Linked DNA regions of Rattus norvegicus. The protein of the gene in region 2 purifies or fractionates together with the protein of the main gene of each other region. This does not show direct contact. Links are inferred from orthologs where the notes say so. Each region holds a gene or a part of one and is shown on either strand. Other genes may lie near its edges.

The links.
Region 1: the proteins of Ewsr1 (region 2) and Ddx17 purify together in Homo sapiens (affinity purification with mass spectrometry; 3 studies listed by BioGRID, with this or other methods). This does not show direct contact. The link is inferred for Rattus norvegicus from reciprocal best matches to the Homo sapiens genes EWSR1 and DDX17.

The regions. Positions count from the first base shown.
Region 1 is NC_086025.1:112,986,940-112,990,976, reverse strand, and holds the start of Ddx17 (probable ATP-dependent RNA helicase DDX17), read left to right. Parts: upstream 1-1,229; 5' UTR 1,230-1,707; coding exon 1,708-1,757; intron 1,758-4,037. UniProt on the Homo sapiens protein: As an RNA helicase, unwinds RNA and alters RNA structures through ATP binding and hydrolysis.
Region 2 is NC_086032.1:84,205,288-84,209,306, reverse strand, and holds the start of Ewsr1 (RNA-binding protein EWS), read left to right. Parts: upstream 1-1,211; 5' UTR 1,212-1,247; coding exon 1,248-1,260; intron 1,261-4,019. UniProt on the Homo sapiens protein: Binds to ssRNA containing the consensus sequence 5'-AGGUAA-3'. Might normally function as a transcriptional repressor. EWS-fusion-proteins (EFPS) may play a role in the tumorigenic process.

The DNA.
Region 1 (4,037 bases), on a different chromosome or scaffold from region 2:
AGCACTGACTGCTCTTCCAGAGGTCCTGAGTTCAATTCCCAGCAACTACATGGTGGCTCACAACCATCTGTAATGGGATCTGATGCCCTCTTCTGGTGTGTCTGAAGACAGCGACAGTATATTCACATACATAAAATAAATAAATCTTTAAAAAAAAGAGTCTGACATAAACATTTGTCATCTGTCTCCTCTCCGTCTCTAGAGAATAGAGCTCTGAGCAAAGGAATGTGTTGGTTCCCCAGTGCCCTAGCAACTATCGAAATGCATGGATTTCTGTGACTTTCTCTATGGCCCAAATGACAAATGAACAGCTTCTCAAGGGCTTTCAATAAGCTAAGCAACACTCAGAACCGGAGACAAGACTCAGTCTTCAGGCTTCCATTCTCCGCGTCTATAGAAATGAGCCTAGAGGTCTCAAGGAATACAGCAGTTTCACAATTTTATAAAGCAAGTATGACCAAGCTTGTGTGGCTTGGCAGTGTGCAGGGATGGCAAGCAAAGAAAGTAATCTAGGAGTTGGGTGGTACCCGTGGCCTAGCCCAGCCTGCCTTCCCCGGATTGGGTTTGCAAATCCTCACCTAGAAAACGCACCGTTTCTGCAGTCGCGGACCCGTGTGAGTCACCCATTTTAATGATGGCTAAGGTTCAAAGCGCCCACCTCAGAAAGGACTCTGGGAAGGTGTGGCCTCCGTATGAGGCATCAACTATGGCCAGTGGGAAATGTGACAACACTCTGTACGGAAAAATGGCACCTTAACATGAACTGCGGGAAACACTGGATGTCTTTTAGCCTAGCTGGGTTGTTGCCCGCTTTAGAGAGCGACACGATGCATCCAACATGGCTGCGGCGCCAGCGCGGCAAAAAGCAACGGGAAGGAAATGGCGCCGGGGCGTGTGGCTAGCTTGGGGCACAAAGGGCGCTGGGGCGAGGGGCCGAGGCCAACCAAGAGGGTCTCAAGACTTTCAGGGTTCTACGGCCCACAGACCCCGAAGCCTGACCAAAGCAACATGGAAAGCGACCATTGTGTCTGCACAAGGCTGGCATCAAGGGTCGTTTGAGCTCGGAATGCCGGGATAAGTCGATTCTCTAAACAGAATGCGCTACGAAGACTGCGCATCCTCGCAATAGTGGGCTGGCCAACGACGCAAACAATGTTACGTCGTGCCGACGGCTCGCCCCACCCCCACCCAACGTTCTAGAGCTGGCGGCGCGAGAACGCTACGCCGGTTGCGCACACTGCCTTATTTAGGTGGACCAACAAGAGCACTCATCTCCGTCACCGGCGTAAAGCCATTCCTAGAATGTCTGTAGCATCGCGCGCAGCCCTCCAGGCGCTGTTTACGTAGCGTCTCGGCTGTGCGTAGCGTTAAGTTGGAGCAGTCTCAGCGGCCGCCGCCATTTTGTGCAGTTGCTGGGAAGGGAAGGAGACGCCTAAACCGTGGCACCGCCCGGTTTGAGCGTGACCAGACCTCCCAACTGTACTAACAACCCCGATTCTCTGAGTTTTGCTCCCGTCTCCGACGAGAGAGGCGGCGACGGTGGCGTCTGCGACGGGAGACAGCGCGTCGGAGCGAGACAGCGCCGCGCCTGCCGCCGCCCCAACAGCGGAGGCGCCGCCGCCATCGGTCATCACTAGACCAGAGCAGCAAGCCCTCCCGAGCTCGGTCATCCGTGCCCCACTCCCAGATCTTTATCCGTTTGGGACCATGCGCGGAGGCGGCTTTGGGGATCGGGATCGTGACCGGGACCGTGGAGGGTAAGGGGGAGGTGCAGGCGGGGGGCGGGGTGGCCCGCAGAGCCTGAGGCTCGGGACGTACAATGGCGGCAGTGCGCGGGCCTCAGGCTCTGGCGGGCGCCTTTGCGGACCGCGGTCCTGGCTCGGAAGTGGCAGGCCAGCCTGGTCTCCTCTCTTGGCCCGCTCGCTGGTCATTTGATACCTGCAAGCTGGCCCTCGCGTCTTATGGGGAGAACAGTTTTCATCTAGGAAAAGCTGCCTTGAATGGTTTCCTTTCCGCTATGTTAGCCATCCCTTTTAGAGAAGGACTAGAGTCGGAAAGACCTTTTTGAATCTAAACTAGGTTTTACTACCCTTGTGTCTTATTTTGGTTAACTGGAAGCAGTTTGGAATAGGAAGTGCTGGAGTTGATTTCTAAAAGATCGAAATTGGGAGAGCCAAGAGGCAGGTGACTTTTTAAATTGCCTTTTAAAGATCCAGTTGATTTTGAAGCCTAAGCTAAGAAGTTTTGTTTTTATTTTTTTTTCTTTTTTTTCGGAGCTGGGGACCGAACCCAGGGCCTTGCGCTTGCTAGGCAAGCGCTCTACCACTGAGCTAAATCCTCAACCCCCTTTATATGTTTTTTTAATTAGTTAACGTACGAAGCTTTTGGTGGTGTGTTGCCTGAGAAATCCTTGAATATATGCCCTGGAATCAATACATCCAAAAGCTTATGCCAGCTTTATTTCTGACACCTAGAGAGTGGAAACACTTCGCGTCTAGATAAACTCTGGGTGCTTTTTGTTTGGATACGATGAAAACTTGGCTAGTTGTGGTGGCAAATCGACTCAGGAGGCAAAGACAAAACAGATTCAAAGCCAGCCTGATCTGTGTAGTGAGTCCCAGGACTACACAGGGAGCCCCTACCTCGAAGGAAAAAAAGTCTTTGAAAGTAACCAAGCTGTTGAAACCAAAAGAACCCCTTGGGGTGACACATACCAGTAATCCCTGCATTTGAGGCTGAGTCAGGAGCTTGGAGTTAAAAGCTAGCCTGGGCTACACAGATCTTGTCTCAAAACAAGGGAATGGTTAACAGTTCAAAGTGAGGGGCAGTGGTAGAAAAAGGAAATTCGGTTAGAAAACGCCTTGTAAAAGAATCTTAATTGTAGAAGCTTTATTTTCTGCTGGATCATTAAGATGCAAGCAGTTTTGGATTCTAGCAAGCACAGTGGACATACATAGGAACCACATTACACTCGTTTGAGTTAGGCTTAAAACCTCTTAATGATTGGGTCTTGGCTATTGCATGATTGAAAAAGAACTGACTTTCTTGGAAACGTTTTAGAATTCTGTTTGTTACTTCATTTGCAAGTGGAGTGAGGCAGTCAAATGAGAAGCCCTTGACACTGTAATATTGAGCTGAAAAGCCTGAGACCTTAAGGTCTGGTGGGTGTACTCAGTTGTGTATTTTTCTTTCTAGTTGTGTTGTTTTAGCAGTGGTATTAAGTCACCCAAATTCTGCCTACTGAATGTAGATACCCAATGAATTCCAGAAACGTTTCTGGCCATAAATCATTGCAGGGTGGGTTTGTCTCAGTGCTGTGTAGCTTAGTCTGCCCTGGTTGACCTGGAATGTGTCTTCACTGTGCCAGTGTCCAGAGTTCAGAAACAGATGTAGGCCACCACACCAGGCTCTAACAGAAGAGAATATTATTGTCTTGTGGGGTTCCTGCTACCTCTCCCAGTATTACCAGTCTTGACATTCTTTAAAGTAGCTACTATTGAATTTTCTCCAATGCTCTAGTGGTTTACAAGGAATCAGGAGTGAGGTCCTGCAGGGCATGGTGGAAAGAGAGGCCTAGGCCTCCAGCACAGCCAAGGCTATGATAGAGTCTCAGAGAAACAAAACTAAAAAGGAAATGAGTTTTTTTTAAGGCCCTGTACTACATAGATTAAGACAAATAAAGAGGTTATAATAGGACAAATTAGAGGTTATGTTATATTGTTCTGGGAAAAGTAGTTTCTGATTTCTTACATCTTAGCTTTGGCAAGTGGCCATATCTGTATTGTTTAGCTTATCTGTGGTAAACGGTATCTAAAGACAAGACAATTTAAATTTGTTTGAAGGGGTTTTGTTTTGACTCCAGGTCTCTTTGTAGACCAGAACTGGCCTTGAGCTCTGACCTTGTCACCAGCTTTCAAGGGCTAGGATTACACATGTTCAATTCAATACAATCATTAACAAAACAAACACCTGTAACCTACATGTTGGTGAGGTTTTTGGTTTGTTTTCCTCTGTAACTAAATATTAGTTGACCCTGG
Region 2 (4,019 bases):
CTAACAGACGCGGGTGCCTGGATCTCTCACCTGAAGGAGGTGATTTTACATCAAATGGGAAACTGGCGGCTACACATCCGGCTCCCCGCTCCCTTCCATTCCTGCCGCCAGCCATAAGCTTCAGCGGTGAAACCACGCCCATCCTCAGAAAGGCGTGACACGCCTACTTCTCCCACATGGACCCTGGTTTCTTCAGAGTCCTCGCCCGCCATGCCATGCTAATGTTTGTCTGTGTTTGTCCACCGTGTCAGTGACTCTTAAGATTAAAAAAAAAAAAAAAAAAAAAAAGAAACCCGCTCGCCAACAATCGGCCTCAGTGTCCTTCTGGAACCCTGGTCAGAGACCTCTCAGAGCTATGCATCGTCACACCCTGCCTACCTTACTGGGAAGCCAGGAGGACAGAATGGGAAATCAAGGACAGTGGAGAAGCTTCCGGGTGGAGCACAGAGAGGGGAGTCCCGGGGTCTGGGTCGGATTCAGCTTTGTAACTCTAGGGGAAGTACTCAATTTCTTGGGCCTGAGTTTTCTGTTAAGACAAGGGTATGAGTTGAAGGATGGATGATTATAGGGCTTCTGGACTCCGACCGTTACTGGGGTCGGGCGCGGCATTCCCGGCCTCCCTCCCAAGCAGACGGACCTCATTCCCCTCCCCCGCCCGCTCAGGCCACGCGTCCAAGGTCCTGGGGAGCTCGTCCTCCCCACCCCCACCCACCCTGGAAAACCGAGGTGGGGGGCCCGCCCGGTAGCCTGGCCGCCCGCACTAGGCCGAGACCTAGGTGCCCCGAGCCCGCTGCGCGCACACACAGGCGCGTGATCCCGCCTGCCGATTAGTCAGCAGTTGTGCCAGGCCGGGATCCCTTCCCCCAGCCCTCCCGCCAGCCTCCGTCTCCCTCCAGGGCAGACTCTTCAGAGACGGTCCCTAGAGCCAGCGGGCCTAACCATTCCAAGCCACCAAGCCTCGTGCAGAGGATCCCTCGGGTTTGTTGGGAACACTCGCTCACTAGCGCGCTGACCCCTGAGGTGCCTTTTTTAGACCACGCGTCACGTCCGGCTCTTTGGAGAGGATTGGGTCAACGGTTTCGGGAGCAAAGAGCCGGATATCGCCGGCTCGTTTCTCTTCGCCCACCCCCGTGGCCTGGCCCTATGGTAGCGTCCGAGGTTGCGGGTTTCGCGCCTGCGCAGTGCGGCGCCTAGGGGGAACGCGAGAGGGAGACGGACGTTGAGAGAACGAGGAGGAAGGAGAGAAAATGGCGTCCACGGGTAAGTGGAGTGGGATCGCGGTCGCGCCGGCCACAGCTGGGACGCTCAAACTGGGGGGCGCTTGTCTCTGGGGGTGGCAGGAATGACTCAGTGGAGTTGCCGATAGGGGTTGGAGTTCCCGCCGTGGCCCGACGAGCTCGGGGGGTCCGCGTTCCCTTCCCCTCCCCCCCACTAGGCGGACTGGTTCTGGAACCTTCCGGTGCCCGCGTTGCGCGCGAGGGCCTCGCGGTAGCTGGGGCGTGCGGAGCCCGTCTTGGCCTCTTTTGTGTGGCGGTTGTCGGTGCTGCTGCGCCCGGTCTCTCGCCACGTGGGCGGGGCCTACGGTCTCTGAGGCCCAAAGGGGACCGCGGCTGGGCCTGGACCTCATCACCCCTAAGGCGCGTGAAGCGAGGTGTCTGATGGCGGCTCGAGAAGCGGTGGCCGGTTTCCGTGTCACCTCTCCTCCTATCGCTAGCCTAGGGGCAAGTGTTTATTGTGTAGAAACTCAGATAAAAAGCAAACAAAAAAACGTCGCGAACGTGTAAGCTGAGGGGCGCCGGCTTATGAGGAGCCCCATTATCCTCCAGGCCTGTCCGGGCCCGGCGCTACCAAGCTGCCCCCTGGAGGGCTCCCAGCTCAAGCCCAGCGCTGGCTTGCTGGGTCTTTTAGACCTAGTTGGCGCCCCCAAATCTTCGTCCTCCCGACTCGGAGGCTTCGGTTTTATGTGTTAACTCCACCTCCTTCCTTACCCAAAAAGCAGTAGCTTCCCAGTGTCCCTTTCTCAGCGAACGGCGTGGGGGATTGGTTGTATAACAAGGTCCGTCTGGATCCGGAGAGGAGAATCTTTCCAGAAAGAAATTTCTAGCATCTTTGCTCCAGGAGTAACAGAAAAGCCTCGGCCCCCACGTTTCTACAGGCCTGCTCATTAAGCTAGCAGGCTGATTTATTTCTTGGTCCTATTGAGGGCAGGGAAAAGAGACCCATAGCGGACTTGGGAAGTCCACGGCGGGAACTGGAGGATGTGATGGATGTTGTGGTCCTTAACGAGGGAATAAGTGTAGCCTAGCCTTCACCTGCAGTTCGGCACACAGTTAACTGGCACGGAGGCGGGTTTTGGTTGTTTGTTTTCGCTTCTGGGGGGATCTGTGGTCTGAAAATGTGGCCTTGGAGGCAGTAGGAGAAAGCGAGGGGGAAGACAAGAAAAGCTCTGGGGTCCTTCATTTGGCTTAGGAAAGCATCCAGCATCACAATTTGACGAAGCAAACGATGTAGTTAGTAAACAGGTGGCTTTTGGTACCAGGCTACTCAAAGTGTCCCCAAGAGACGATAGGAGATTCTACTACAGCCTACTGTATCTTAGTGAAAAAATGCTTTCGTGGACCTTTTAGCCTCTAAAGCCCAAGAAAACAATGGCAGGTTTTCTGCTTCATAGATCATTGCCACTTTTTAGTCATCTTTGTTATCAGCAAGTGCAGATAAGCACCGTGAACCAAATTCGAGTTTAAAAGCGTGCTGTTCTACACCCACAGTCCTGGCCCTGTTGAAGGAACTTTATTTAAGATTTGGTAGTCTTTGGTAGTCTAAACTATGAAAAAACATAGTTTAGTTTTAGACCTTTTAAAAGGTTTAATTGACTTTAGGCAGTGGTGACGCACACCTTTGGTGCCAGGGCTGGGAAGGCAGAGGTTGGTCTCTTGAGTTCGAGAACAACCAGGGCTACACAGAGCAATCCTGTCTCAGAAAAAATAAAATTATTTTCTTGAGCCCTTCAGTTCTTAGAGCAACATTTTTTGGTCCCAACAAAGTTACCCTTGCTAGCTTTTTAATGTATTAAGTAGCCCAAACCTTCAAATTTTTTCAGTTTGGCTAATGAAGGCCCTGAAGCAAGTCATTGCTTTAGAGGAATAATGGTTTCCCCTCACCTGTATCTTGTAGAATAGTAACTACAGAGGTTGTCCAGTAAAGCAGAATTACAGTATTTAAATAACTGTCAAAACAAATAGTAAAACATTACTGGCATTCTAGGATGGCCCCTACCCTACATCATAGCCCCTCAGTCTGCCTTTTTAAGTCTTTACATGTTTGGTCATTTAAGGACTTCTTTTTATTTTTTTCAATTGTCTAGTGATCTGACCGTTGCCTCAGTGTCATGTTTGAGGCAGGCTTATGTGCTGTATTGGGGTGGGGGCAGTGGTTGCCTTTTCCTTAGCCCACCAGATCTTTGGTTGCACCCTCATCTGAGGTGGTTAGCTGTTCTGTAGCAGCATTGCCAGTTTTACATAACTGCTCTTGTGTAAGTCTTTGTAAACATGGAACTTAATGCCAATGATTCAAAAAGTCATCTTTACACAGAAACCTCAACAAAATGTAGGTTGTAGTATTTGGATTAAATGTTGGTATATTTTTACAAATGCTACATGGAAGGAAGTGATTTACAGGTGTTTCTTTTCTTTTTCCTTTTTTTTTTTTTTAAATATAAAGAATGTGGCAAGTAGCCAGTCATAGTTTAATCCTAGATTGGGGAGGGCAGAGTTTGAGGCCAGCCAGAGCTACATAGTGAGACCCTGTCTCCAAAAAAAAAAAAAAAAAAAAAAAGGCAGACAAAAAAGGAAGGTAGCAAGTAGGCATGGAGGTACACACCTATAATTTCAGCACTTAGGTTGTAAGAACCATATGGGCTCTGTAGAAAGTTTGAGGCTAGGCTGGTCTATATAGTTAATTAAGGTCATCCAGCTAAGTAGTTAGATCCTGTCTCAGAACTTCCCATCACCCCCAAAGAA